4 linked regions of the Arabidopsis thaliana genome follow. The protein of the gene in region 4 interacts with the protein of the main gene of each other region in a pairwise test. Each region holds a gene or a part of one and is shown on either strand. Other genes may lie near its edges.

Evidence for each region.
Region 1: the proteins of PYL6 (region 4) and G6PD3 interact in binary tests that used the Arabidopsis thaliana proteins (3 or more experiments, as listed by UniProt).
Region 2: the proteins of PYL6 (region 4) and PP2CA interact in binary tests that used the Arabidopsis thaliana proteins (3 or more experiments, as listed by UniProt).
Region 3: the proteins of PYL6 (region 4) and HAI3 interact in binary tests that used the Arabidopsis thaliana proteins (3 or more experiments, as listed by UniProt).

Annotation. Positions count from the first base shown.
Region 1 is NC_003070.9:8,605,459-8,614,222, forward strand, and holds G6PD3 (glucose-6-phosphate dehydrogenase 3), read left to right. Parts: upstream 1-3,879; 5' UTR 3,880-4,036; coding exon 4,037-4,250; intron 4,251-4,448; coding exon 4,449-4,666; intron 4,667-4,750; coding exon 4,751-4,845; intron 4,846-4,956; coding exon 4,957-5,071; exon of another isoform or gene 5,072-5,342; coding exon 5,343-5,548; intron 5,549-5,633; coding exon 5,634-5,783; intron 5,784-5,870; coding exon 5,871-5,991; intron 5,992-6,064; coding exon 6,065-6,294; intron 6,295-6,368; coding exon 6,369-6,569; intron 6,570-6,675; coding exon 6,676-6,925; 3' UTR 6,926-7,122; downstream 7,123-8,764. Other genes in the region: AT1G24267 (bZIP transcription factor, putative (DUF1664)), read right to left, coding at 1-57, 159-248, 390-491, 712-776, 853-928, 1,050-1,127, 1,211-1,284, 1,741-1,783; AT1G24270 (uncharacterized protein), read right to left, coding at 2,665-3,285; AT1G24290 (AAA-type ATPase family protein), read right to left, coding at 7,192-8,764. UniProt on the Arabidopsis thaliana protein: Catalyzes the rate-limiting step of the oxidative pentose-phosphate pathway, which represents a route for the dissimilation of carbohydrates besides glycolysis.
Region 2 is NC_003074.8:3,580,088-3,587,524, forward strand, and holds PP2CA (protein phosphatase 2CA), read right to left. Parts: upstream 5,764-7,437; 5' UTR 5,563-5,763; coding exon 5,119-5,562; intron 5,034-5,118; coding exon 4,698-5,033; intron 4,606-4,697; coding exon 4,500-4,605; intron 4,408-4,499; coding exon 4,094-4,407; 3' UTR 3,695-4,093; downstream 1-3,694. Other genes in the region: EIF3G1 (eukaryotic translation initiation factor 3G1), read left to right, coding at 1-279; AT3G11405 (uncharacterized protein), read left to right, coding at 808-1,272. UniProt on the Arabidopsis thaliana protein: Major negative regulator of abscisic acid (ABA) responses during seed germination and cold acclimation. Confers insensitivity to ABA.
Region 3 is NC_003071.7:12,604,630-12,611,852, reverse strand, and holds HAI3 (highly ABA-induced PP2C protein 3), read right to left. Parts: upstream 3,179-7,223; 5' UTR 2,999-3,178; coding exon 2,630-2,998; intron 2,542-2,629; coding exon 2,224-2,541; intron 2,131-2,223; coding exon 1,729-2,130; 3' UTR 1,503-1,728; downstream 1-1,502. Other genes in the region: SMO2-2 (sterol 4-alpha-methyl-oxidase 2-2), read left to right, coding at 41-186, 353-472, 568-780, 840-956, 1,041-1,095; AT2G29370 (NAD(P)-binding Rossmann-fold superfamily protein), read right to left, coding at 4,490-4,672, 4,763-4,869, 4,948-5,164, 5,271-5,478, 5,703-5,794; AT2G29360 (NAD(P)-binding Rossmann-fold superfamily protein), read right to left, coding at 6,732-6,923, 7,016-7,122, 7,202-7,223.
Region 4 is NC_003071.7:16,843,127-16,850,329, reverse strand, and holds PYL6 (PYR1-like 6), read left to right. Parts: upstream 1-4,135; 5' UTR 4,136-4,505; coding exon 4,506-5,153; 3' UTR 5,154-5,742; downstream 5,743-7,203. Other genes in the region: DREB2C (Integrase-type DNA-binding superfamily protein), read left to right, coding at 480-523, 663-1,665. UniProt on the Arabidopsis thaliana protein: Receptor for abscisic acid (ABA) required for ABA-mediated responses such as stomatal closure and germination inhibition.

The sequences.
Region 1 (8,764 bases), on a different chromosome or scaffold from region 4:
GAAAACAAACTTAACGTCATCCTTAATATTTTCCGTACCTCTTTGTAGTTCCATCACCTAAACAATTAAATAAATTATCAAGATAACATTTAGAATTATCAGAAAGCCCTTGACAACGCAGTGAAACACAAGTGTTTGTGCACATTCATCTAACATACCTCTCGTCCTGTATCTTGAATAATTTCTGTATTAGCATCCAAACTACGACCCATCCCGTCAATTTTTGAACTTAACTCTTTTTTGGTACCCTGTCATGAAATGTTAACAGCAACAAAATGAGACAAAATACTGATGTTCTGCAACTAAATTAAATACAGGTACTTTATCATTTGGATGAATTAGGCTCACAAAAGGAACTATCATAACTAATATGGGAAGTAAGAACTTGCCGAGAGTGATGTGTAAAAACCATCGATCTGGCTGCCAACACTATTACATGCATCTGATAAGCTGCGCCTTGTTGCAAACATAAGATCCGGAAGTTTCCAGCCCTGAGAATGTTGCAGAATAAACCAGTTCCCAGTAAGGTTTTTTAAAAAGGGAAAATAACTACAAACAAATAAACCAGGTCTAACTTACAAACAAACAAGCCAGGTCAAATTAATTGGCAAGGAAAACAGTTAAATTGTTTTCCAAAATACAAAATCTAGACTAGCCAATAGCACTCTAATCGAGTAAGTAAGAAGCTCAAGCATGGTGAAATATTATTACCTTCCACCATACATATCCGTAGCCTATCACCCCAATTATAATGATGTAACCATACTTTTTACCACCTGGAAAATTGTAAGGAAATTGTTAAAATGGAGCAGAAAGGAATACAAAACTTCCAACATTAAATCTCTAGAGGACCTGATCCTGCTGTGGTAACAATAGTGATAGGTCTGTTTGAAGAAAGCAAGCTCAATTCATGCCTAAGACTGTTAACCTACAAGAAAAAATAGAGATAAGACAAGTAAATCTAAGTCCAAGTCCTCCACAAATGTATCTTATCCAGCTAAATTTAATAACCTATCCACATAAATAAGTAGCTTAATATCAATCAAAACCTGGGCCATTAGTGTATCATTGCGGGGCTTGCTGGCTGATTTGGCAGGTTCTTCTTGCTTCAGCTGCCTAAATACCATCTATCAAGAGAAATAAACCATTACTCCATTTATAAATAAACATCATAAATACAAGCTTTTGCACAACATAGAACTTAGAATACCTTAAGAGCACCGGAGACAAAACTCGAGACATCTGGTAAACTCCCTTCTTTAGCAAGTACTGACCCAACAAGACCTAACGTAAAAGCAAGTGAATTGAACATTAAGCATATGTACTAAAATTAATCGAAACAGTAAGACATTAAAGGGTAAATTCATCATCTTTGGTGCATTCACAACGAAATTAAACATAAACTAGTCTCCAATAACGCTGAATAATCTCCCCTAACACATACAAGAGAGTAAAAACTGTTCCTTTGTTCAATTTCTGATTGGTCGAAGAAACAGATGAAAACCAAAAGTGAAGCACACTAAAAAAATATCAAAAGACTTGAAATTTGAGCTGAAGAAGATTCGATGATTGAAAGACAGTGAAGCAACAGTGATCATTATAAAAGGGTTTATCAAAAACCCTAATTTCTCATCCTCTAAATGCAATTCCCCATCTACGAAACAAATGAGAACCCGAGAGAGGAGTACGAGCACCGATCAATTAATCACTAAAAAAGAAAACCCCCACAAGAGTACTGACCTGCACCGATGAGGATGGTGAGCTTCCCGAGAGGAATAGCCATGGAAGACGAAAACTCAATCCGGCGAGCTTGTACGACGAAGGATTAAGATATAAGAAGAAGACGCATGAGAAGATCTAAGAGAGAATTGGTAGAAGAGAGCAGCGGGAAGGTGCCGGCGTTAAAGATGATGCACTCTTGCGACGACGGAGATAGAGAGAGAGAGAAAGAGAGGCGGAGAGGAGAGAGAATAGAGAATAGAGAGACTCAAAATTGTTTTGTCGAAGGGACAGTGTTGTGTTCCTCAAGTGACTTGACATACAATACTTTTATTTTATTAATTTTCTTATTGGGCCTAGAAAAAGGCCTTAGAATATGCTCTAAGAAGATGCCCATGAGGCATAAGGTTATTGAGATTTGAGACTTTGACCAATTCGAGATAACAAAACAACTTGAGAGGCTGAGAGCAGACCACACATGACATTACAAAGGCGTTTTTGCTAGAGTTATAAGCTTCAAGAAGTTGTCCTAGTAATTAATAGTTTGTTTCATCTATTCCACATACATATGATAGGTCGCAAATGTATTATTAACCGTCGACGTCCTGTGCCTATCTACCTCATAAGATGCTCGAGTTTCGATAGATCTTCTTCATTTTTATACCACCAAAAGGACCAAATCTTCACCGGAAAAAAAGCAATACAAGTCCGAAATAGAGTAACATGAATACATGATAGGAAAAGTGTTTCCTTCCCCAAAATATCTAAACGAGACTCTCTTTGGACTTTTTCGAAGTGCCTAATCAAACAAAGACACATCTCTTTTGGCCCACCTTCCGAAACTAAGACATATTCAAACATACACTCTTCTTTTGAGGTTGTTACCACCAACCCAAAAGAAGAAAGAATATGCAAAACCTGATGCAAAATAGCACAGTTTTTCAACTAGCTAACCAATAACCATATACTCTTATTTTGAGGTTGTTCTTCCGATATCTCTATCTTCTTAGCTCTCTTCTTGTTTTTCTTGGAAGTGTGGGAAGCAGAGATCTCGTCCCTGGTGAGATGATCTTCAAAGGCTTCTATGATCTGGTTGATGAGCTCACGGTTAGACGAAGAATCCCATTTAGACCAGTAACTTGTGTAGCAATCAAAACATTGACAGTCAAGCAGAGGAGCTTTATGGCTTCTCTTCTTCTTGCAAGATACGACGTTAGTGGTGTTGAGTGACCTGGTGATTAAGTAAGCAAGAACTTCCAGATCTTCGGCGGAGAGAACCGAGACTAGAACTAGAATCGCACTCTGGAGAAGCTTAAAGACAGAAAGAGAGTCATCTCCATTCGAAGAAGAAGAAGATGGAAGAGGAGGAGATGGGTGCACTTTACCTTTCTTCATTACTTTCATGGCTGATTTTGAGGAATCTTTCTTTTCTAGATAGAGAGAGAGAGAGAAGCAGAGGAGAGAGTTTTCTTTGCTGCGATTATTGTTTCTTTCCTTAATGGCTTTCGCAGATAAGAGGAAACAGAGTATAGAGCCTTTTTTCATGTTTATGTATTTCACCCTCATTAATCATTATTATGTCTCTCGCTCATCATATACATGCATGATTTTTTTTTTTTTTTTAACAAATTCAATCAATTCACAAATGAGCTAAATCACAATAGCTCCAGCGAAAATGCATGATTTTTAAAATGCTTCTTTCAATGATATAGTTTTATTGTAATGGAAAAATATTTAGCAAATAGATTATAAACTTACATGAGACAAGTATAAATAATTATTATAAACTTATTAAGTTTAAGATCAAGGCTTTTGTGCAATGTATCAATGAATGTTAGATGTGATATGATGAAAGCAATGTTTTAAACACATACATAGTCATTGATCGGAATGTGTGTTATTAGAAATGCATGCCTAAGCCGATAGGGTTATCTATGTTTGGTCTTGGACATTATAGCCAAATTTCGAATCTAATTCTTCCAATATATATTTTTTTTTTTTTGCTTAGGGCCACTACTAGTATTGCTTATCAATTTTAAGAGCTCATGAAAATGCAACAATATAGTAGTTGCAAATCCTTGTTTCAAGAGAAATCAAAGGGCCACTTGTGAATTGAATAATAATAATATTTGCAAATAACCTTTCACTAAACCATACCAACAAAACCACACAGATTTGGCAAAGACATAACCTTTGGGAGACGTGAAAAGGCTCAAAATTTGACAATTGTCCTTACAAATTCGCTCATTAGTGCAATTGTGAGATTTGTTTGCATCCAAATCCAATTCATAACTCACACTCGTCTCAAATTCGAAAAATGTCGTCTCTCTCCTGCCCTACCTACCGCTCCCGCACTTCGTCTTCGTCTCCTTTCTTGTCGAATCATCATCATTCTTCGCTGATCAATGTTGTTGACCCACGCCGCTCACTCTCCTTCCACTACGCTTCTCCTCAGGGGCTTAATCTAGCTGAGCTCTGTGTTGTTAGATCGCAGAGGAGGTCCGTTCAGAGTTCTGTTGTCGTGCAAGATGGTAACTTTAATTGGATTCTCAATTGGGTTTTCTTCTTTATGCCTTGCTTTGCCGGTAACTTGAAAGCTTGTATATATAGGATTGAATCCTGTAGTTCAGCTTGGTTTTAGATAGATTTTCTTATAGAAAGTATCCGACTTTAGACAAAACATTGCATGTAATGAATGTTCTCTAATGCGCTTACAATTGTGTGTTTAGGATCAGTAGCCACCGAGTCAAGCTCGTCCGAGGAGGCGAAAGATGTAGGGGTGTTAACGATTCCTTCACTTGAAGCTGACAAGGTTGTAGCAGAGTCTGATGGCGGTGAACAACTTTCAACAGTTAGTATCACGGTGGTGGGAGCTTCTGGTGATCTTGCCAAGAAGAAAATATTCCCAGCTCTTTTCGCACTTTACTATGAAGGCTGTCTTCCTGAGGTATAAATAACTTCTTCTATCTTTCTCTCTTTCTGATGATTGATTGTTATATTGATTGATGTGGTAAGCTGTTTTTGGTCGCAGCATTTTACCATTTTTGGCTATGCAAGGAGTAAGATGACAGATGCTGAACTTAGAGTTATGGTCAGCAAAACATTGACATGTAGAATTGATAAGAGGTGAATAATTATTGTAGCTTTTAAAACCACCAAGACATTAGTCCTTATGGTTTCTTTCCCTTGGTACTTTGTCAGAGATGGGTTGTTTAACATTTAACTGTGATGGTTCAGGGCAAACTGCGGTGAAAAGATGGAAGAGTTTCTCAAGAGATGTTTTTACCATTCGGGTCAGTATGATTCTCAGGAACATTTTGTTGCATTGGACGAGAAGCTCAAGGAGCATGAGGTATTGATGTTTTCCTCAGCTTATTGTTTTTTTCTGCATTCCTCATGAATTCCTTGCAACCACATTGCATCATTGCCTCATTTTTCTGAAGGCTAATTGAGGTCATGAGTTACCTTGGTAGGTGTAAGGTGATATGCTGTAGATTATGGCCTGAATACAGAATTAGGAAAACTATTGTTGTTTCTGAAAAATTAGTAAAAACTAGAAAACTTTGGTCTTCTTACATTTTTTCTTTCTTATTTGCCCTTATCCATCACATAACTATTTGCAGGGTGGAAGACTTTCGAACCGTCTTTTCTATCTTTCAATCCCTCCAAATATCTTTGTTGACGCGGTGAAATGTGCAAGCTCATCTGCTTCATCTGTCAATGGATGGACTAGGGTCATTGTCGAGAAACCTTTTGGCCGGGACTCCAAAACCTCGGCTGCATTAACAAAGTCTCTTAAGCAGTACCTGGAGGAAGACCAAATATTTAGGTGGAGAGATCGTGTTTATGTTATTGTAAATTTTAGTGATGATGGTTTAAGATACCTTGCTGATACGAAAAGTTGATTTTTACAGGATAGACCATTACTTAGGGAAGGAGCTGGTTGAGAACTTGTCGGTTCTTCGATTCTCAAATCTTATATTTGAACCGCTATGGTCAAGGCAGTATATAAGGAACGTGCAATTCATTTTTTCTGAGGATTTCGGCACTGAAGGACGCGGAGGGTAATCCTTGTTGTCCTCTGTCTAATATTTTATTTCTCATGTGTGTTGAAGCCTATGTTTTGACACTTTTCTACTCTTCAAATCCAGGTACTTCGACAATTACGGAATAATAAGAGATATAATGCAGAATCATCTGCTTCAGATATTAGCTCTTTTCGCCATGGAAACACCTGTGAGTTTGGATGCAGAGGATATCAGAAATGAAAAGGTCTCCTATTGTTCCCTTTCTTATAATTTTGTTGATTTCAAGGCAGTATTTTGAGGTCCTCGCATTAATTCAGGTAAAGGTACTACGTTCAATGAGACCAATAAAACTTGAAGATGTGGTGATAGGACAGTACAAGAGCCACAGCATAGGAGGAGTCACTTATCCAAGCTATACTGATGATAAAACTGTGCCAAAAGGTAGTCTGACCCCGACATTTGCAGCTGCTGCACTCTTCATCGACAATGCAAGATGGGATGGTGTACCTTTTCTAATGAAAGCTGGGAAAGCACTAAACACCCGAAGGTACCAAACTTTGGAATTTTTTTTGCAAATTTTCTGGTTTGCTTGTAATAATATAAATATATCTATTGAAACAGTGCGGAGATAAGAGTCCAGTTCAGGCATGTGCCTGGAAATTTATATAACCGGAATTCTGGTACTGATCGTGATCAGACCACAAATGAGCTTGTCATCCGCGTCCAACCTGATGAAGCTATCTATTTGAAAATCAACAACAAGGTCCCTGGTTTAGGAATGAGATTAGATCAGAGTAACTTAAATCTTCTCTATTCAGCAAGGTAAGCTAAGAAATAATAAAGACAAGCTGTGGTGTTGTTTTGTATATGTAATCCTTATGTTCTTTTTTGCTTATATCTAGTTTCACATAACTTTTTTCTGTTGAAGGTATTCAAAGGAGATTCCAGATGCATATGAGAGGCTTTTGTTAGATGCGATCGAAGGTGAACGCAGATTGTTCATAAGAAGCGATGAACTTGACGCTGCTTGGGCGCTTTTCACTCCATTGCTCAAAGAGATAGAAGAAAAGAAGACAACCCCAGAATTCTATCCTTACGGCAGTCGTGGTCCAGTCGGTGCCCATTATCTAGCCGCAAAACACAAGGTCCAATGGGGAGACCTAAGTCTTGATCAGTGAAAGAGTGGAAGAACATTTTTTGTTCATAGATTCACGTCTTAGAATTTTCATTATTTGTGTGGTTTATGGAAACTTTCTTTCGCTTTCAGAGATAGGAGTGAGTTTTGTTCGATTTTGTATCTGGAATAATAAGTAAGAACTACCCTATTCTTGCCACCCTTTTTGCTTTCAATAAAGGAAACACAAATTTAAGTGTAGCCTCTGCAAAGACTTGAACAACATGATCCTCTATACATCACATACCAAAAAGAGAGAAAAAATACTGGTTAGAGCCTGTGTTCTTGATCTTGGAAATCGCCTGAAGCCCCTTCTGGCCATTCCAGGAACTTATGATGCAGAAGAGACGGAGGTAGATATGTCTGACCTGCAGCAGAAGAAGGATCACTGGGAGGATATATATACTCTTTTCCATAGCCAAGTTCCTTCATTAACTTGGTTGGAGCGTTCCTCAGGTGTAGAGGCACCCCTTCATTCTGTCCAACCGAGTCTTTCACAACCTTCTGTGCAGCTCCGATTGCTCGGTAAACTGCAATGGATTTAGGAGCCAGTGCCAAGTAAGCAGTGCATTGGGCGAGAATGACATTGCATTCAGGCATACCCAAGAAATGTGAAGCTTGATAGCACGCAACTGCCTGAGTAAGAGCTGAAGGGTCAGCAAGTCCAATGTCCTCGCTTGCAAACCTTATAAGTCTCCTTGCAATGTAAAGCGGCTCTTCACCACCCTCGAGCATTCTAGCCAACCAGTAGATTGCAGCATTAGCATCTCCGCCTCGCATAGACTTGTGAAGTGCGCTTATGAGGTTGTAATGTTGTTCCCCTGCCTTGTCATATGCCAAATGTTTGCACTGAAGAGCCTCCTTCGCATCATCAATAGACACAACAGCATCAGTTCCGGCTCGAGTGGTAGCCATGGTAGCTGAGATTTCCAAAGCATTCAACGCGACGCGAGCATCACCATCGCAGTTATTAGCCAAGAACTCTATGACAGAATCATCAACCTCAACGCTATTGGGGAGTCCTCTCTCGGAATCATCTACAGCTCGTCTAAGAAGGGTCTCAACATGATTGGGTTTCAAGGGATTAAGAGTTAGAACTCTACAACGTGAGAGCAAAGGAGTGATCAAATGGAAAGAAGGGTTCTCAGTGGTGGCTCCAATGAAGAGGATACTACCATCTTCAATAACAGGCAAGAATGTATCTTGCTGTGACTTGTTAAACCTATGAACCTCATCCATAAACAACACAGTCCTCTTTCTACCTTCAAGATTAAGCCTTTTGGCACTCTCAACGGCGTCTCTAACATCTTTAACTCCGCTCGTAACAGCAGACAAGGAAACGAAGCGATACAGAGACGGGTCCTTAGAGGAATTGATGAGAGACTTTGCGATTGAGGTCTTTCCAGTGCCAGGAGGACCCCAGAAGACAATGGAAGGGAGGCGATTGGATTCGACGGCGGAACGGAGGAGAGAGCTGGGAGAGAGGAGATGGTCTTGACCTACAACGTCATCTAGAGTGCGAGGACGCATACGCTCCGACAATGGCTGGTGTTGGCGGTGGCTGGATGATGAGAGCTTGTGACGCTTGTTGGAATCATCAGCCGCGACGTGGATTTGGGTTTTGGGATTGGGGCGCTTGCTGGAATCGTCACCCATGGCGGGGGCTAGGGCTTTGGGATGGAGACGGAGGAAGCGGTCGAGTTTGGGCTGTAACGTGGCCGTGGATTGAGGGGAAGAACGGTGGGAGAGAATCCAGTCGGTGGCTTTCTGGATGGAATCTCCGCCGGTGGCCGTTAAAGCCTCGGCGGCCAAATCGCTGGAGAAACCCATGCTCACTAGCTGC
Region 2 (7,437 bases), on a different chromosome or scaffold from region 4:
GGTTCAGACATGAGGAGGAGGAACGATGAGAACTCTGTGCGTGTAACCAATCTGTCCGAGGATACCCGTGAACCTGACTTGATGGAGCTGTTCCACCCGTTTGGAGCTGTCACACGTGTCTATGTGGCCATTGATCAGAAAACTGGAGTGAGCAGAGGATTTGGTTTCGTCAATTTCGTGAGCAGAGAAGACGCTCAAAGAGCAATCAACAAATTGAATGGTTATGGTTATGATAACCTCATCCTCAGGGTTGAATGGGCAACTCCAAGACCAACCTAGAAAGAAATGTCTGATGTTGAGACCTTAAAACTCTTCTCATTCTCGTCTTTCTTGTTATGGATTTTTGTTTATCGACCAGTTTGTTTGTTGGTTTGGTTTCTGTATGAATAGATGAGAATTTGTTCAATTTCTCTTTAATACATAAGGCATGCTTTTTAAAAAATGGATTTGTGTGATACGTAAGAGTTTTCCAACACTTTTTTCATTGATGTCTAAAATTATTTGTGATGTTTGTTTAACATTCCCCGTTTCACAAAAATATTGTTTGACTTTTACTTTTTCGTTCTAAGATATCAATCAAAATAATAATCTTTATTAATGAAGAATATAACTAATTAACAAATGTTAGTACGTATATTCTTTTAATTGTAATTATAACATTTTCGTATCATTATGTAAAAATAAGAAAATTTCCTTTGTTAAATTTAGTCGAAAAAGTAAAATTTCCATTTATTTTTAACTGCATATATATCAGCTTAAGTAATTTCTTCTTAGTAGAAGGTCAAATTTTAGAATTTCATTGAAACAATGGAAAAGGTTTCAAAACTCAGTATTATCTTCCGTGACGAACTACAAAACTTCAACAATGACTATGTCGAAAATATAGATGTCGTCGGCAAAAAAACATCTAATTCATCATCGGACAATGAAAGCGACCAATTCGCCAGCTTGTTTGGTTCTTCGTCACCGTCTTCGTTTCAAATGCCTCTTCAGTACCCGAATTACGCAAAGGAACAGTACGACATTATGTCGGAGGAAGAACTCGATCGACTTCTCAAACTCTATGGTCTGCCTACAGATATCGGTAACTTGTCCTGCAAAAAAGAATTTGCAGTGGGTGCATTCTTGTGGGAGACGGGGTTAAATTCTTCTCTGGATGAGCATGATTCAGTAAACCCTAATTCGTCCATTGATGATTTGGAAGAGAGATCTTTGATAGGGTTAGTGACAGTTCTAGTAAAGGATATGGTTCAATTTATATTCCGTGGGTAGCAAGTTAAGGAAGTGAAAGCCTAATTTTGCTTGACCCTAAAGTTTCGTTTCTTGTTGTTTATATGGATGGATTTCAATTATTATGATTTACTATATCATATTATTTAATTTGCTTCGCCGTAAGCTATCGTCTGTTTCCTTTTCTTTTCTTTTTTATCGTCTGTTTTCTTACAACCGAACAAAAGTTAAAACCAAATTGAATAGGGAAAGAAAAATATGGTTTATATATTGCGGTTTGGAGAAACTAGTCGGGACAAGTTTCTTCTTAAACAATATATAAAAAGGACCAGCGACTCTAGCTGAGAGAATAATCTTGTTTTATATGTTTTAAAAACTGTATACCAATGAGAGAAACAAAAGCTTCAAATAAAACTTAGCTAGGACCAAAATCGACCAAGAAGGATAATAAGAGCAAGAGATAGACTTTGAAAACAAAGTAAAATCTATCTAATTAGATATAGAAGCATTATCTAAAAATATAAATAGAGAAATTCTAAAACACAAAAACAGTTTAAAGTTTCTTGTTGGGACCATTCTTCACTATGAAACTGCATCATAAATTCATAATCTGAGAGACTGAGACCCTTTCAAATCATTAAGATGATGATGTTACGTTCTGCTTATGGTGTTCTTATATGGTTTGTATTTGATTAGTATTTCTTTACTTCAGTTATTTAAATTTAAAGTCATTTTAATTTTTTATGCTCTTTAATTCATAAATTCATAAATTCATAAAAGAAAATATTTTTTTTTAGAATGTGTTCTACGTTTGGAATCAAATATCGTCAGTAAACAAATCCTTCTCCGTTTTATTAAACCTTTGCATAATATACAAATTTAAAAATGAAAACAATGATTATAGGTTTTACGGCCTATGCATCTTTTCTTTACCTTTTATCATTGATGGACTACTACAGTTGGTGAAAAGTCTTATTTAACAAATTTAGTCGAACAATTCACTTGTATGTTTGCACCGTTGAGCTAAAATCGTCTACCAACTATATTTGGTTTAAAATGTTATTTTTAACAATTTTAGAGCATTTCAATTGTGTATTTTGTAGTGAATATAGCTATATCTTTCAGGCAACATCGTCAAAAGGCTGACCAAGTTTCTCTATTATGTCCCAAACACATGTAATTAACGACATTTTAAGTTAACTTAAATCTATACTAGCAATGGATTTTATGTAGGAAAAAGTATAAAGTTAGTTGTTTTGCTAAAACTAGACTTATGATATAAAACCAAACTTATTGTTAACATTTTTAATGTAGCACAAGGAACTCACGATGTCATGTAAGCCTTCCTCAATACTATAAAGTAAGAACCATTAGGGACATGAATAGATATTTAATAAGACAAATTGAGACAACATTATGATGTATAGCGAAAAAAGGGAAAGAATAATTGAGAAAGAGAGGTCAACATCAAATCTTGGAAACCAAATCTCACATAGACCAAATAGACACGTGTTGCTATTTGATTGTCACAAGTAGGCATAATCTTATCTAAGCTCCCACTTGTGTTGTGTCCCTCTCAATCCCCAACTTTTATTGTGTTGCCCTCTCACTCTTTCCACAAACCCAACAGGCAACAGCTAAAAAAATCAATCCATCATTATAACATTATGCGAATTCCGATCTAATAATTTTATGGCAGTGCCTTATCTTTTGATGGTGAAATCTCCAAACTTCGACCAATTGTGATGTATTGGATTATCCAATCGAACTTTTCACGCGTGGGGATATAAATTTACCGTAGTTTTGGTTCAAATGTGGTATTTTCATATCCAAAAGATGCTAGGTTTACGAAAAATGTCTTCAACAAAACCCCATAATAATTGTTGGTTTAGAAAACAAAACATAACCTAACGTATGATTAATACCTAACAAACATTAATGTGAAGGGTTTATAAAAACATGATTGAATAGAATAAGATTTTATTATCTGGTCATTGTGGCAACTGGCAAGTGGCTAGTAATGGACGGTTAAAAGTATGTATTATTTTTTGTTCAAGTTGATATTAATTTATTTATAAAAGAATGTGAAGATCATATTCCTTTTTCTTACCCTCCTAGTTGATATTTTCTAGTCAATTTAATCAAAATCTGTTTAATTGATTATTGATTCCGACCTTAACTGACATTAAGCATTCGACAATGTTGCCAGACAAGTCTCTTAACTTAACTATCTTCATTAGTATTAAAAGAATTAATAAATCATTGTACTTTCTAGTTCTTATATTGATTGTCCAGATTAGTCTCTTCCACCAAGATATATATATATTTTTGTTGATTTATGTTTCTAATATTATCCTTGAATCTTTTAATTACAATTATGTGCTAAAATGCCGCGGTCTACGACACGCGAGTCTCCCATACGACCCCATACCAATAAAATAAATAAAATCTTCTTAAGATAGGGGAAGATTAGTAAGTAACCGGTTTGGATTCAAATCATCGTCGAGACTCATACTAAACCAGTTCGGATCGAATAACATTAACCGAAGTTTTAAAATGGTAAATACGCATAATCTGTTCTTTCATTTTAACATTTTTCCCCTCTGAATTAGATTATTACATTTCCAACGACCATACTAAAAGAATACATGTATAATATTACCTGAATAGAAAAATAAGAAAAATACTCAAACTATTTAATCAGCTCTTTTTCTTCCCCAGCCTGAATTAAGAGCTAACTAAAATAGAAAAGAAAAAACACCTTAAAATGAGAAAAACTAAAATAGAAAAATAAAAAGAATACAATTACAATTAGGCTATGTAACAATTATTCTAATACTACTACTAATTATAACACTAATTATTAAGACGACGCTTGATTATTCCTCCTCTTCCTCAAGTCAACCACAACGACGCTCACGTTATCGGAGCTCTGTCTTGCTAGAGCCAACTTTGTTAAGAGCAACGCCGCATCGGAGCACGCATTGTGCGCCGCATCTGAGTCGTCACCCGCACCAGCACCTCGAAGGCACATGCGAGCCACGCCACACGCCGTCTCGTTTGGTACAACATCCCATAGTCCATCACTCGCCAAGATCAAACACTCATCCTCATCAGTTCGATCCGTCACTGTTACCTCCGGATCCGGAATCACATACGGTTTCAAGTAATTATCACCTATACAAACAAAAACAATAATCATCAGATTAAATTCAAACGTGTAATTCAAAATAGCCTAAAAAGTCAAATCACAAGAGAGATTCACTCACCAATTGCTCTAGACATGGCAAGAACTCCAAGAACCCTAGCTCCATCCCAATATATAACTCGCCCACCAGCTTGTTGGATCCGAATCAATTCATCGGGTCGATCCGGCTGTTCATCACAAAACAAAAACTCTTAGAACCATGCCATCTTGATTCATACTAACCAATTCGTAATTCTATATAAGACATAATTTTAACTACCTTGTGATCTACGGAGAGAGGAATGGCTACACCGTTACGACAAAGCACAGCCCGTGAATCACCGCAATTAGAAACAATGATCTTCTCCGGCGTGACAACCGATACAACAGCGGTGGATCCGACGGCGTCACACTGAGGAGACTGCAATTCACATCTACAAGAATTTTTCATACTCCGAGTAGCACCATTAACAACTAAGTTACACTCTCGTTGGCTAACTTCTTTATCCATTTTTTGAAAACTCTTAACCATCGTCTCTGTCCACTCGTCGGAAGCCATAACTTCAACTTCCTTCTTCACTATATCATGCAACCGTTCTCTGCACTTCTCCGCAACCTAAAATCAACCAAACAAAACCCTAATTAGTAACTAATCACAAACAAAAGAAAAAAATATTACTAAACAGAGGAAATTAACGTACATGAGAGCAGCCATGGCCGTCAAAGACACCGTAGAAATGATGATTCTCAGAGTTCCGTTGAAGAAACGAAGGATGAATCGAGACAGCGTCTTCCATGTCTCGTCTTCTACCACAAACCGACGTCGTACCGATCTTAGGTACATCGGAAAAGAAACTCTCTGCTTCCGTAACAGAATTTGAATTCGTAACCGCTGATCTAGCCTTCTTATTCTCACTCCTCACATTCGAATCCAGATCTAGATTTCCCGGTAACGTCGAGAGCACTACTGTCTCACGCTTCTGCCGTTTACGGCAGTTTTCAAGCGGAGGAGCAACGGCGGAGTCAGCAACAATTTTGATCGACGGAAGTAGATCTAACCTCCGTCTAAGAGAAGCTCGAGAAGTTGAATCAACCGGTGCCGCCGGTTCAGTCTCTCCAACAACACCGCAACAAATCCCAGCCATTTGATCTCTAACAAAACTTCTCCAATTTACAGAGCAAACCAAAAACAAACAATCTCCGATTATGAGTCTTCTTCAACAATAGAGAGAGAGAGAGAGAGATATTAGTAGAGAGAGATTTTGTTGAGCGTTAGGAAATGCAATGTGATTTTAAAAAGAAAAGGTTTGATTTAAAAAGAAAAGTTGAAGAAGAACGCAAAAAAAAAAAAGGGTTTGATTTTCGCATGGAAGGGTTACACGTAATTAACGGGCAGGGGGGCATGAATAAGGGGAAGTTGCTGACCGTCAGCATCAACGGGCAGGATCCGACACGTACCGTTTGGTGTGACGTTCCATTTCCTGGTACCTAGATACAATCTAAACCGTCCATTCTTTCTTTTTTCCTAGATCTATACACGTGCCCTTTCTTTCTTTTGGATACGCCGTTAACGTGGCCCAATCACAGTTCGACACACCTTAACGGTAACGACCGGCCTTTCTTGACACGCATGTGGTCCACTCTTTCGTTTTGTTCTTTTTTTCTTTTATTTTGTTTCATTTAAATACGCTTAATACAGTATTATGCTGTTAATTAAGATTTAAATAAGTCAGAGGTCAAAATAATGGCCATGGGAGAGAGACAATCTTGTTATAAAATACTGGTTTTAATTATTTTGTCAACTTTTTTATAAATCAGAATAATCACTATGAGATTAATGTAATCGATAAAATCTCTGATAGTAGAAAATTATACAGTATGAGAAAATGTAAACCCCTTCTTTTTCTAGTTATGGAATCCTGAATGGTGAATACTCTGATAGTCTGATTGGTAATGCCAAACAGAATGATAGGTCAGCCCCACTACCCTTAAAACATATAAGAAAAATCTAGTAATATATACGATATGGTTCATATCATTTCACAAACCTAAGCAACATCAATAATACATTTGAATGTTTCCTGTGTTATTTTAAATATTGAACAAACCCGCTTCAATTTGTACAAAAGCGATGCCTCTGAACGTACTATCAAGTATAAATTTGCTTCTAAAATAACGCATCGTGAATCCGTTCCGTGATTACATATTAATCGAGGATATAATTGACATCCAAACTAAAGAAAATTTGCTTCAGAAATAACAATTTTGATCCTATTTGTACAAGAAATAACAAATATATATATCGTAAAAGGTTGATTGTATTGAATTGCCAAAGAGACTATTTGTACAAGAGATGTTGCCTAAAAGAAGATAGAAACGTATCTAACTGAATCTAGGAGAAGAGAAGATTAACATATATTCTAACTCTGATATTATTTCACACATGCAATTTGAAATGTTTAAACAATAAGAGTATATTTATGCTTGAAATTCTGAAATGCACATAAACGAAAATAAATTGGAAAATAGTTACGTGTATCTGATGAGTTCAAACCTCAGCATCAAACACTTCTTTTTTGGTTTTGAATAATTAAAGGTGGGCATTTGGGTTAAGTTCGGGTAAAACCCGATTAGATATGATTTTTTTGGATATAAAAGTTTAAGATTCAATGGGATAAATCCAAAATATCGGTTTGGTTTAAGTTTGTATCCAATCGGTTTTTAATCGGTTTGGATATAAATTTTCAGGGTCCTTTTAGAACCGATATCCGAATTTTTGAGTAAATACCTGAATTTTTGGATAAAATTTTAGATTTCGAATAAATTTAGATTTTCGAATAAAATACCGGTATTTTCGGATTCGACTTAGATTTTTTGGATTAAAAAATTTAGGATCCAATATAGTAAATCTTCGGGTTCAAGTTTAATTTCGAACCCAATATAATAAATCTTCGGCTTTGGTTTTTTTTCTAGTCCTAGTTTTGATGTTAGAATTTCATAACTTGGAAAACGATTAAAAC
Region 3 (7,223 bases), 4.2 Mb from region 4:
CTTCTAGATTTATCAAGTACTCTTGTTTGGTCTTTTGCAGACCAAAAGTAATACTCCTGAAGCCCAGGGAAAATGCATTGCTCGACTATTACTTTACCATTGCTGCGTAAACTTGCCCCTCATGATGGCGTCGTATCCTGTATTCAGATTCATGGGCATGGAAAGCAGTTTTCCTCTGCCGTCCTGGTATTATCAGGTTCTTTAGTGCTGAAAGCTTTTTTTGCCTTTGGGTTCTGATGTTAAACTCTTCCAATGGGCAATATATATAAAATGTCAGTGTTGAGCTGCATGAGAAGAACCTGCATTATGTTTGATCTGGTTTATGAAACTATATCTGGTGACGCTCTTGCAGGAAAGTGGTGTCTGCCCAGATCTTATTCTACTTCATCATTGAGGATTTTGTATTCTATTGGGGTCACAGGATCTTGCATACTAAATGGCTCTACAAGAACGTGCACAGTGTGCATCATGAGTAAGCTATCAGTACTCACCATCTTTTTTGTGCTTGACAATGTTAGTTCACTCATGGTCCTCAATAAACAATCTTATGGTATTACTTATATACAGGTACGCGACACCGTTTGGTTTGACATCAGAATATGCTCATCCCGCTGAAATTCTGTTCCTTGGTTTTGCTACCATTGTTGGTCCGGCTCTCACCGGGCCTCACCTGATCACCCTTTGGTTATGGATGATGCTCAGAGTTATTGAGACAGTTGAGGCACATTGTGGTTATCATTTCCCATGGAGCCCCTCGAATTTTCTTCCTCTATACGGCGGGTAAGATAAGACTTCTAACCTGTGATTGCCTTGAAAGAGCAACACCTTAAACCTAACAGATCTTTAATATTAATGTGGGAATCATTTGCTTACAGTGCTGACTTCCATGACTACCATCATCGATTACTCTACACAAAGTCTGGCAACTACTCATCAACGTTTGTTTACATGGACTGGTAAATTATTGAACTCTGTTTCTTACTTTAACAGAAGTCATAACTATAATAAACATGTAAATATGTTTATCTATGTTACTTCAGGATCTTTGGCACCGATAAAGGTTACAGAAAACTTAAGGCCCTAAAAGAAACCTGACAACAAACAAACGTGAAATTCGATTCCCGAGAGAGGTCTTGTTCTCAAAAAACCTTCTTTCTTTTGTTTTGTCTCTACCATTTCCTCAACTTTAGTCATAAGAACATCATTATTTGCTACAATTTGGGTTGTACAATCAAAGCTGCTAGTCTGAAGTCGATTCGATGTTGAAATTTATACGTGACCTCGTTTCTATTGGACTTGTTGTTACTACTGCTTACTGTTTTTCTTATTCTTTAGATACTGCTAATACTCATAATTGCATTTAGAACCTATGATCTACTCTCATGTCTTTGCCTAGCGGCAGAGACTAAGTACCTCTTAAAGTATCTTAATGCCTAAAAGTAAAAGGTATAGTATAGTCTGACAATCTTTTTTAAAGCAAAATGCTTTTACATGTCGACCTTCTTAATTTGATTTGATTTAAGATTATAAGCATACACGAAACAGGATTAGGGTTGACAAGAATAATTCTTATCATTTCTATTAATTAACCCTTTTTCGGGGTTTCCATAAAATCGGGTTAATTTTGTATACAACCAACGTATTCCAAGAATAACCAAAAAGCAAAACTGATATAGAAAGTTAAAGCAAAATTGTCTTCCTCTTCGACTAGTGTCCACTTACGTGTCCTTATCTTCTGAGATCAATCACAACGACACTGACGTTGTCACTACTGTTCCTTGCCAACGCCAGCTTTGTTAGCAATACTGACGCTTCCGTACAAGCCTTGTCCGAAATCGCCGGATCCTCATTATCTTGTCTTCTCCCACCACCACGGAGACACATACGCGCTACAGAGCAGGCGGTCTCGTTTGACACAACATCCCATAAACCATCACTAGCTAGTATGAGGCAGTCATCGTCTCTCCTGTCCGTTATGGTTACCTCCGGCTCGCAACTCACGTAAGGTTTCAAATAGTTGTCTCCTATTGCTCGTGACATTGCTAAGACTCCGAGAACTCTTGGACAGTCCCAATATATGACTCGTCCACCAGCTCCTTCGATTCGATCCAATTCGTCTGGCCGATCAGGCTGTGTTTCATTACAAAGAACACAATCTCCAAGTTAATCCACAAATCCAATCATTGCTTAAATGAAACTGAACATGTTTTGAACGGAACTGACCTTGTGATCGGTTGATAAAGGGACTGGTTTCCCATTGCGGCAGAGAACTGCTCTGGAATCGCCACAATTGGCGACAACGATCTTATCTGGCGTAATGACTGAGACAACAGCGGTTGATCCGACGGAATCACAAGCCGGTGTTTGTAGATCACACTTGCAATTTGCAGTCACGACGGAATCACCCCACGATACAACTTCCTTATCCATGCGTGTGAAGCTACGCTCCATCGTCGTTTTCCATTCTTCTTCATCTTCCATATCTGAACTTAGTTCTTCTTGCACCAGCTTGTGAAGCCTCTCTCTACACCTTGCTGCAACCTAAGGAAAAAAAAAAGATTTCGTATCAGCTAAAACTGAAAACATAGAATTTCGGAAAACGTAAGAATGCATGGTAACGGAGTCGTACGTGGGAACAACCATGGCCGTCATACACACCAAAGTAGTGTTGAGGAAATTCCGAATTCTTCGGAGAAGAAAATGAAGGATGAATTGCCACCGCATCTTCCATCTCTCTTCTTCTACCGCACACCGAAGAAACACCGTATCTTGGACTGGATACGTCGACATTTTGGTCAGAGAAATCCTCCCGAGAGCTTCGAGGAATTGAAGAGTATCTCGTAGCTAAAGCCTCCTGTTTACTACGCTTACAATTCTTCTCCCAATCTTCATGCATCACCGTTTGGAATCTCGGCCTCCGCCGTGAATGTGCCGGCGTTGATTCATAAACCGACGACGGACATGCGTCGGTCACTACTTCGTAACATATCTCGGCCATATCCGGGGAAAAAAACCTTAAACTTTGATGTCTTCAAATGGATTTTGCTCTGTATTTCTGATCAAGAAGAACAAAACTCTTTCTTAGATGTTTCAAGAAATGTTTTCTTTTTTGATGAACTCTTTCAAGAACTGGTGATTCCTGTTTTGGTTGCTTCACTGGTTAATAAAAATGCTCGAAAACCATTCAATTTGAGAAATAATGTCATTACACGTTACTTGCATTCTCTATTTTATACACAAAACCTGCCTCTTCAGAAACAATTTTAAATTCTTTCTATAAAAAAAGTAATCCACGTAAGGCGTCAGTATCGAGTGCGAGATTCGTGGTCCAATCAAATTGAGACGGCACGGATGACGGATCATAGGAAGTTTCCTTTCGCGCCACGATGCTTTTCCCCGCAAGGTAGGTTTTGTTTTCTGTATTTAAATAACTAGAGGAATTTCATTACGTTAGTTTTCACATTTGATTACATGAATAACCTAAGTTTAGGTATAAATCAGTGTTTACTTTCAAAACCTAACAAGTTTAGTGCTAATAATTTATGTTTGTCCCTAGACAGTAAACACGTTAACAAAGAAAACCTTAATAAACTTATATCTGAATTTTTATTATTATTGTCTTGAGAGTCCAGAGAATCATCGGAAATATAATATGTATGACTTATATGACAGTAATCAGCTATGTTGTGATGGCAGTCTGAACAATTATTAAACAAATTTATCATCGACAAAGCAATTTGAATTCTCATCGTCCAAATATCCAAGAAATGCGATAAAGTTTTATATACCCAAGAAGATTAAATAACAAGTTACATATATAGTTTGTTTTTGAATTTAGAAAATTTAAGGAATATTTTGTTTACATGTCTATTATTATGAGTCCTTGAATATGATATATGAGTATGTTTCCAACGACATGTCTTTTAGTTTAGTTGATATATAGAAGAAACTTGTTTTGTGCTATGCGTGAGAATAATAATAATAATAAATTTATATCAAATATATATATATATATATATATAATTATGAAGATAATTCTTTCTTTGTTTTGTGTTATGCGTGAGAATAATAATAATAAATTTATATAAATTAAAAAAAATTATGAACATAATCTTTACTCCTTTAGCAAAAGTAATCTTTTTAGGCTTTTAGCCATAACCCCCTAAAGATAGGGATACTAGAGTTGAAAATCGTACGGTCATCATTACATGACTATATAATCATATATCATAAGTAGAATATATACAATAATTATTTTATATATCAAAAGTCACAATACGATTGGAAACGAACAAACATCAAATGTGAACACAAGTAACTTCTTATCCGATAAGATAAAAGATTGAGTTCTTCGTCCAAACATTAGAAGGCATGAACGGAGTGAGCTCCCTCAACATAAGTTACATATAAAACTTGTATGAATTAATATGCAGTGAAACCACTAATTAATCACATAAATTTAAGCATGAATATATGCATATATACGTGTTTAAGGCAAAGAGAAGCCGTTAATAGTGAAACCTCCATCAACGCAAATGGTTTGACCTGTTATATAAGAAGCTGCGGGAAGACATAGAAATGCAACAAGCGATGATACTTCATTTGCCTCTCCAACACGTCTCAATGGTGTCACACTCTCCACCTTTTCTTTTACATCTTTATCACCGAGGAACTGAAACATTTTCACATAAACTTCGTAAGAAATAGTTAAACCATTTTTTCATACTATAAATGAAATGTATTTTCTTATTCATTGTCTTACATCTTTAGTTGACGGAGTTGTAATGAACCATGGACAAACAGAATTAGCCCTTATATTATCACTCGCCCACTCGCATGCTAAATTTCTCGCCAGCTGATTCATGGCTCCTAGAATGCGTATACATTTATTTAAGTCGCGATAGAAGCAAAGAATCATAAATTGTTCGAGTATGCGTATAATTATACCTTTGGTTGCTCCATAGATTGATGTATTACCCAAATTTACAACTCCAGCCACGGAAGACATGAGCACAATGTTCCCTGAACCAGAGGCTTTCAATAAAGGATGCGCGAGTTGCGAGAAATGGAAAGTTGACTCCAGATTTGTAGCTATTATAAATGAGAACTCTTCTGCTGTACACTCAGTCGTCGGCTTTAGTACACCTATTCCCACATTGGGTACCTATACAAACGAAGCAAACAAAATTCAACATGATTTTGGTCATTGTCGATCCAAGCTCATAGACGAGGAGGAGGAGAAGCTTATATATATACACACACACACTTACGAGGATGCTGAGTTTTCCTTGGAAGAGAGAGGAAACAGTTTCCATGAGTTTCTCTCGCTGGTCACGAGAAGAAACATCGCAAACAGAAGTGGTGACTTGTAACCCTTTTGCTTGCCATTCACGTAAGCTTTCTTGAAGCTGAGTTTCGTCTCTGGCACATGTGTGAACTCTTGCTCCCAACATGGCTAGTTCCTCCACCACAGCTTTTCTATTTATACATCAATATGAATTTATACATATCATTAAGCCTTTGATCTTTTCAGGGGTTGATTTGATTAAACATAGAAATACTATCAAAAGATCCACATAAGTCTATGATTGAGCCGTATTAACAAATAAAACGAAAGTCTATACATGATTGAAATCAGAGCTCAGTTTCGGTACTGAAATTATAGGGAAGTAAGTAATTAAGGTAGAAAAATTGGGACTGACCCGAGGCCTTTAGATCCACCGGTAACAAGAGCAGTCATGCCTTCAAGACTCCATTTAGGTTTGTCTCTCAAGCTTTCCCCTCTCTTTGCCATTTTTGGTTATCAGCCACAGAGCAGATATCTATTCATGGAGATTCTTATTTGTAACTCGGTATAGGAAAAATTATAGACCGTTTATACATATTATAATATCACACGTAACCATGCAAGTGTGTTGTAAATGGGGACAAAATATCGGATTCGACATCATTATTGGATGGTTGGTTGTACCAGTCCAGTCGGTTGAGTATTTAAAACTTCATAATTTTATTAGAACTAAATACAAAGTTCATATTTGAGAGTGGTAAAAAATGAATGTACAATATAAAAAACGAAAAGGATAAATAATAATTAGACATATGCTTAAACCTTCCAATTTACAGGTTTTTTTAGATGTCAACTGTCATTATAAATTCCAAAGTATCTGTGTTTGGATATATTTTGAAGTCATATACAAACTATTTAAATAATAAAAAAGGCACACTTAGCCTTCGTTTCTTCATTTTCTATACAATCATTTTCATATTGAGATACAACAAATAAAAATGTGAGCACCTGACTTTGATATATGGGACAACAAACAAACATCTAGCGTCAAAACGACCAAATTACTTATGGTTTGTGAGGAAGCCTTAGAAGGCATGTATGGAGAGATAGGCAGCTAGCTCTATCAACATTCAACACATCTCGTCTTAATTTATCAATTCATCTCTCCCCTTTGGTGGGTGATTTAGGACCGCAGGTTATAACTTATCAATGTCTTGAGAATGTAAGAACGTTGGTGGCTTCGTAGTAACAAATTATACTATAATTAAAAAAAAATTAGTATACTTGATCGGTTAAAACACAAAGCATGCATATATTGTGGAGAGTTGGATTACATTCCAAACGCCAATTTTTTTTGTTTGTTTGTGTAATTGTGTTTATGTTTACATATCTAAACAAATTGTAAATGTTAAAAAAATAACGTAAAATGAAAACAATCGACGTCTTAAGGCAGAGGCTTGAAAGAGAAACCATTAACAGTGAAACCTCCATCAACACAAATGGTTTGACCTGTAATATAAGAAGCTGCAGGAAGACAAAGAAATGCCACAAGCGATGATACTTCATTTACTTCTCCAACACGTCCCATTGGTGGTCTACTCTCCACTTCTTTTCTAAACTCCTCATTACTAAGACTCTGAGAGATTTTCAATTTTACTTAATTAAAATTAAAATTGAGAAGTAACAATGTATATAGCTTAGAACTTTCATATTTGTTGCCTTACTTACTTCGGTAACTAAAGGAGTTTCTATGAACCATGGACACACAGAGTTAGTCCTTATGTTGTCACTTGCCCACTCGCACGCTAAGTTTCTTCCTAGCTGATTCATAGCTCCTAAAATACACTTACATTTCGTAAAAATCAGAACGTGATGCATCATTAATCGTTTGAATATACATACGTATAGATTTACCTTTAGATACTCCATATATGGA
Region 4 (7,203 bases):
TTTGTTACATTTTTCGATTTTTCTCCGTTTTTTTTCCTCTCTTCTGTATGTTTGCTAAATGTGATTGTTCATTGTTAGGGTTTAAGATTTTCTTTTTATCGATTTTTGTTGTTTTGTGTGTATATCCTCCAAGTTCCTTTGTTTGTGTAATAGGTGGAAGCTGAAAGGTTTTTCAATTTTAGGGTTTTTGGGGTTTTTTGTTGACTGAAATTTGTTAATTTGGGGCACAATTTGTCTCTTTTGGATTGAGTTCTGTGCGATTTGTGGATTCTAGTTCGTGTGTGGTTAAGAGACTTGGAAATTAGAGGATTTTTAGCTAAAATAATCGTTAAAGGTGGTACCTTTCCTGATACAGAAGTTAGATTATGGATTCTATGTTGAATCTTTAGGTGATTCTCTGTTTCTGAGTTTGCTCTGTTCTAGTTTCTTAATCTGTTCGTGATGGAGTTTCTTTCTTGCTCGCTGTGATGCTGCAGATTATGAAAACTTCTTCTTGTAGCTACTTCGGTGTAATTACGTTCAGGTGGTTAAAAATTGTTTCTTTGAAAGGTGCTTTGATCCGAAGTATAGTTGAACCTGTTGCTTGAAATTTTGTGAAGAGAGAAAATTGGAGTTCTCGAGCATGTTGCTAATCTTGCTTCTATCCCCTTTGATTCTACCAGGAAAAGGAAGTCTCGTGGAACACGAGATGTAGCTGAGATTCTAAGGCAATGGAGAGAGTACAATGAGCAGATTGAGGCAGAATCTTGTATCGATGGTGGTGGTCCAAAATCAATCCGAAAGCCTCCTCCAAAAGGTTCGAGGAAGGGTTGTATGAAAGGTAAAGGTGGACCTGAAAACGGGATTTGTGACTATAGAGGAGTTAGACAGAGGAGATGGGGTAAATGGGTTGCTGAGATCCGTGAGCCAGACGGAGGTGCTAGGTTGTGGCTCGGTACTTTCTCCAGTTCATATGAAGCTGCATTGGCTTATGACGAGGCGGCCAAAGCTATATATGGTCAGTCTGCCAGACTCAATCTTCCCGAGATCACAAATCGCTCTTCTTCGACTGCTGCCACTGCCACTGTGTCAGGCTCGGTTACTGCATTTTCTGATGAATCTGAAGTTTGTGCACGTGAGGATACAAATGCAAGTTCAGGTTTTGGTCAGGTGAAACTAGAGGATTGTAGCGATGAATATGTTCTCTTAGATAGTTCTCAGTGTATTAAAGAGGAGCTGAAAGGAAAAGAGGAAGTGAGGGAAGAACATAACTTGGCTGTTGGTTTTGGAATTGGACAGGACTCGAAAAGGGAGACTTTGGATGCTTGGTTGATGGGAAATGGCAATGAACAAGAACCATTGGAGTTTGGTGTGGATGAAACGTTTGATATTAATGAGCTATTGGGTATATTAAACGACAACAATGTGTCTGGTCAAGAGACAATGCAGTATCAAGTGGATAGACACCCAAATTTCAGTTACCAAACGCAGTTTCCAAATTCTAACTTGCTCGGGAGCCTCAACCCTATGGAGATTGCTCAACCAGGAGTTGATTATGGATGTCCTTATGTGCAGCCCAGTGATATGGAGAACTATGGTATTGATTTAGACCATCGCAGGTTCAATGATCTTGACATACAGGACTTGGATTTTGGAGGAGACAAAGATGTTCATGGATCTACATAAGATTTCAAATTTCGTTTGACTGGCCTAAGTTTGTGATTCTGCTCCGAGACGGTGTAGCTGTTACTAGCTAGAAGCTGCCCTTCTTTGAAGCTACTGATACTTTCTGATATTAATGGTTGTGAGACGTAGTACATGTAGTTAGGTAATGTAGGACAAGTTCAAATATGATTCCTTCTTTCTTTTTCTTGTGAATACATATGACATATGAAGAAGTTCAAACGTTGGGTTTAGAAAAAGTTTATAACATTCGGTACATATCAAAGTTTTGAACTTCGGATGCATATAAGCTATAAAGTTTTGATCTTTGAACTTTGGATACTCTCACATCTAATTTTCATCCTTAAGAATGGAGATGGAATAATGCGATGTTGCGTAGTGGTTTTATTGACTTGGCAAGTTTTGATTATTCAAGAAACTTGGCTTAGTTTAATGGAAATATCCAGTAGTGGAGTTTTTTGGTCTGCAGACTTTCCTCAGGTTGTCTGAGATTACATAAGCAATGAGGTATGAATAATAAAGTTATCATTAGAGAGTTATCTATCTGTATTTTCTACAAAAGGCAAATTGGGTATTTGAAAGTGCAAATGGGACATAGTTGTATATTATTTAAAAGGCTTTAACTATTCCATTCTGGTCTCCAAAATCGTTTTTCTTGCTCGAATCTTGAAGATCTTCTAAGCCTTTAGAAAAATGAAGAAATCAAGTTGGCAAACTGTTAATTAATTAAATCCAATGAATTGGTGGGTATTGCACCTCCACAAGTTCCCTTTGACAATGTGTCCTCTTCTCCGCAAGAATGAGATGCAACTATTTTGGACAATTTCTCCTTTTAATTACTTTTTGATCGATAATCTTCTCTTAATATCACGTTGTAATCTGATTCATTCAAATATCTATCGAAATTTAAGCTTATCTTTGATTTTTTCGATACTTATTTTTGAAATTTTAAGTGCATTTTGTTTATAATCATAGTTGGGGATTTAATAATTTTAGGTGGAATAATATTTTATGCATATTGGAGATTTATTTCTCGAGAAATATTCACAAACAAACAAACAACCGGCTTTTGCACAAAAATAATAATGACATGGAGTCGAGTTGTTTATACTAATGTTTGTCACTATCTCACCATTGGAATTTAAATCTTGGATATATAATACATGTTTTGACAAAAAAAAAAGTTGGCACAAATTATGTTGTTGTAACAAAATACGTCTGATGCATTGATTTGAGATTGACTCTTTGAACCCAAAAATGTATCACCGTAATATTAATACATTTTCCACATCAACTTGTAATCTATTTGTGTTCAGTAATATATTGGTGAGTGATTATGTCACCTAACCCGAAAGCTTATAAGATGAGCAATCTTTATATCGAGGATGGTGCAAAAAATAGCAAATTGTAACTTTTTGTCCTTCTTATTCTATAAAATGTCAGATATAATTAGTACTGCAAATTGCTCGCTTATTCGTATTAATCTTAACAACTAGGGCTACTTGGGAATATGTATAGTTGTTGGAAAAACTAATGCATTAGATAACCCTTTATTATTTTTCCCAATTGTGTTTTGTTATTATGCCCACCACTCAAATCCAAGAGTCCAATATATTCATATGATTTGAATATACGTTTGTGGAAGAAAACACACCCAAGAAATATTGTCCAATTCGTAAATTTCCCTGACTTTACGTTGGTTACTTTTAGCAAACTGCTTAGTTTGATTTTCTTCTAATTCGTCTTATTAATATTCTGTTCTTTTCTTTGTTGAAAAGGAATTTGATTAATACTTTTTTTAGTATCGTCGAAAGGCTCAAGTTGATTACAAGATGAGGAAAGATTATTATGATGGACCCATGACATGATATCTTCACCAACTTGGAACATTGAAAGTCCTATGGAGTTATTTTTGAAATTTTTACCTTAGTCAGAAGGTTCCAACAAAATTAAAAATCCACCAAAAACGCATCCAAGAATAGTACCAACTGAAAATAGATCGGCAATCACAAAGACAAAGGTCGGTCCTCCCAACCAATTTGTTTCAAGAATTTTTTCAAACCTATGCATAAATTAAGTATAGCTCTTAACCAATATATATAGCTTAACCAACTCGACACATAGTGATCATGTTCTTATAATCTTTAATAACGTTTTAGAGTTAGCTATATATATAGCCTCGAGACAGTAGAAGATTGAAATATCTATGCAAAACCTCAAAGATAATGTTCAATGTTTTTATATTCTGAATATTGATATAATCGGTGAGATAGAGATGAGTTCAGAATTTTTTTCTCGGTATCTTAAATGATATTGATTTCATTTTCTCAACTTTCATTCAAGAGTGTTTTTGGTTAAAACATAAAAACGTCCATTCTAATTATAGTAATGCTTGTGTGGTTACGACAACATGCTCATTCATTGTAATAAACTGGTGAAATATATAGCACCATTGACAAATAGACAGCCTCAGTAACAAAGCAAGGAAAAACAAAATTAAAATTTAATAACCGGTTATATTAAATATCGAGAACCAGTCCGTAGAATTTCATGGGAAACCGGGCCGGTCCTTGATATAAAGAAAGAGAGAGACGTTTCTTAACTGAAGCAGTACACAAACTCCAAACAAATCCCAAGTGGACAACCGAAGAACCCACACAAACTAACTCTCTTTCCTAATCCACATACTTGCATTTTTATATATAAACACTCTGTCCTTATATAGTTCTGTATATTACATGTAAATATCTCTCATTAATACAACCTCACGAAGAAAACCATTTGTTTTCTTAGAGAGAGCCAAGAATATTAAAAGAGATATAGAGAAAAGATTTGCTTTAATAATGCCAACGTCGATACAGTTTCAGAGATCCTCCACCGCCGCAGAAGCAGCCAACGCCACCGTAAGAAACTATCCCCACCACCATCAGAAACAGGTTCAAAAAGTGAGCCTCACGCGCGGGATGGCTGATGTGCCGGAGCACGTGGAGCTTTCCCACACGCACGTGGTTGGTCCTTCTCAGTGCTTCTCCGTCGTGGTACAAGACGTGGAGGCTCCGGTTTCCACAGTCTGGTCGATCCTAAGCCGCTTCGAACACCCTCAAGCGTACAAACACTTCGTGAAAAGCTGCCACGTGGTTATCGGAGACGGTCGAGAGGTTGGGTCGGTGAGAGAGGTCAGAGTCGTCTCTGGTCTCCCCGCGGCGTTTAGCTTAGAGCGGCTTGAGATCATGGACGATGATCGCCACGTCATCAGTTTCAGCGTCGTTGGTGGGGACCACAGACTCATGAACTACAAGTCGGTGACGACGGTGCATGAGTCGGAGGAGGACTCCGACGGCAAGAAGAGGACACGTGTCGTTGAGTCATACGTCGTTGACGTACCGGCGGGTAACGATAAGGAAGAGACTTGTAGCTTTGCTGATACTATAGTACGGTGCAACTTGCAATCGCTGGCTAAACTCGCCGAGAACACTTCTAAATTCTCGTAATTACATTTTTTCAATCTTTTTATTTTTATTTTATTTTCTATATTTCTCTCTTTCAAAATTTATCTTTTATTTTTGGGATTCTCGAGGTGGTTTTGGATTTTAAGATTTAAGTATTTAACTATCGTCGGGGATTTTTCGAAACTAAAACAAAAAACAAGAATTATATCAAACAAGATGGTTTTGGTTTTTCGAAGTTAGGGTTTTTAGGGTCTGTTAAATGTATGTCTCAACGATACTTTGGTTTTACCCTTAAAACCATTTCTTCTTGTACAGCTCTCGTAGCTTTATTATATAAACATTGATTGTTTAGTTATTTTCATAATCTTCTTCTTGCGCCGTATTTTACATATTTATTATTTGTCTTTTAATTTAGTTAATCATGAAACAATATAGACTATATAGTGATTCAGCTATAATGCATGGGGTATATTGTTACGATATTTCCGATATTATTATGTCTAATTTCATTAATTTTGATAACCTACATAATAATGTATTACACAAACAATTTGATTAATATAATCATTGGCATATCTACTATATATGAAGAGATCTGAACAATTGTGGGCAATCAGAAAACCCATACATGTGCTGATTGAGATGATTCGTTTTCCTTTATGTTAAGAGAAGAACAAAGTAAAACTATACATCATTTGAATTTTATTGAAATGTATAAACAGTAGAATACTACTTGGTGTTTTAAATGAATTTGCTCACCAGCTATATAATCAAAGCGTTCAATCCTAAAAGCAAAGATGGAATAATATCAATTAGTGATAATTAAACTTGAACCAAGGCGTAATGCATGTATTGAGTTATGTGATATAATCTTAAGAATTTTCTTTATGGCATATATAATGCTAGGCCAAAATAAATGGTGTCAGGTAATACAGCATTATATCTTTAATTCCCTAATTTGGAAACGTAAAATTTTCAAATTATTTGTCATTTCATCAACAAACTTTACATAAATACGTAAATGTTTTGTTTTTACTCACCAAAAAAATAAATCAAAATTATTTACATACCAAAATGATAAAATTTCTTAGTTCCTTTTATAGTTTTGGGATGCGTGAACCGTTTCAATAATTCAAATGTCAAAATTATTACTTTTTCGGATTTCCTTGTCCTATATATTAGTTCATGAATAAAAATGTACATTTGAAAAATCAAATAACTTTATCTAGTTATATAAATATAAAGAATCCAATGAACAAGATGAAAAGACATTCAAAGTTTGCAAAAGCAAAATGTGTTTAGTTACTTTATAATTAAGTAGTAAGATTTCGAGACTTGTGAACCAAATTCAAAATTGAATACATATATAGACATTCATGTATATGATCGTACGTAAAATGCAAGTTGGGGTGTAATAAAATCCAACTTGTTATAGAAAAAAAACAAAGCATGCAAGTTGCAAAGGAAAAAAAAAAAAGTCGCTACTATTCTTTGACACCTTTAAAAAATATTCCATAAATAAAAAAAAGGTTAAAGAAAAATCAAATTGATTACATAAATGATTATTAATTTATTATCATAATGAGTACGAAATATATATGTAAACATTGTCGTGGAAGGAAGGAATTGCAAGTTGATATGCAAGTTGGCAAGGAGGCTATTAATGTTTTCCCTCTTTTGGTCGTTTGTATAATGACATTTAAACCCACCCACCTTTCTTATTTTCTTTTCTGTCTTCCTATTTCTGATCACTATTATTATATTACTTATATTTTATTTCACATTTTTTTTAATTTTATAAACCCATAAGAAATTTTTTTCCCTTTTATTTACATATGAAAACATATGTATTCCCGTGTCAAAAAAATGAAAATTCTGACCAATCCAGAGAGATACGATTTATGGGGTTTGTATATTCCAATGTGGCATGTTGCATATAAACTACTACTATTTAACTAGTTTCTTAATAATTCAAATCCAAATAAACATGCATAAAAGATTGTGATAACGTACATAGCTGTGATATAATATGCATTACTTTTAAAAAGCAACGGAGATAGTTCGTATTTTCATATAGTCTTTAGCTGGGCTA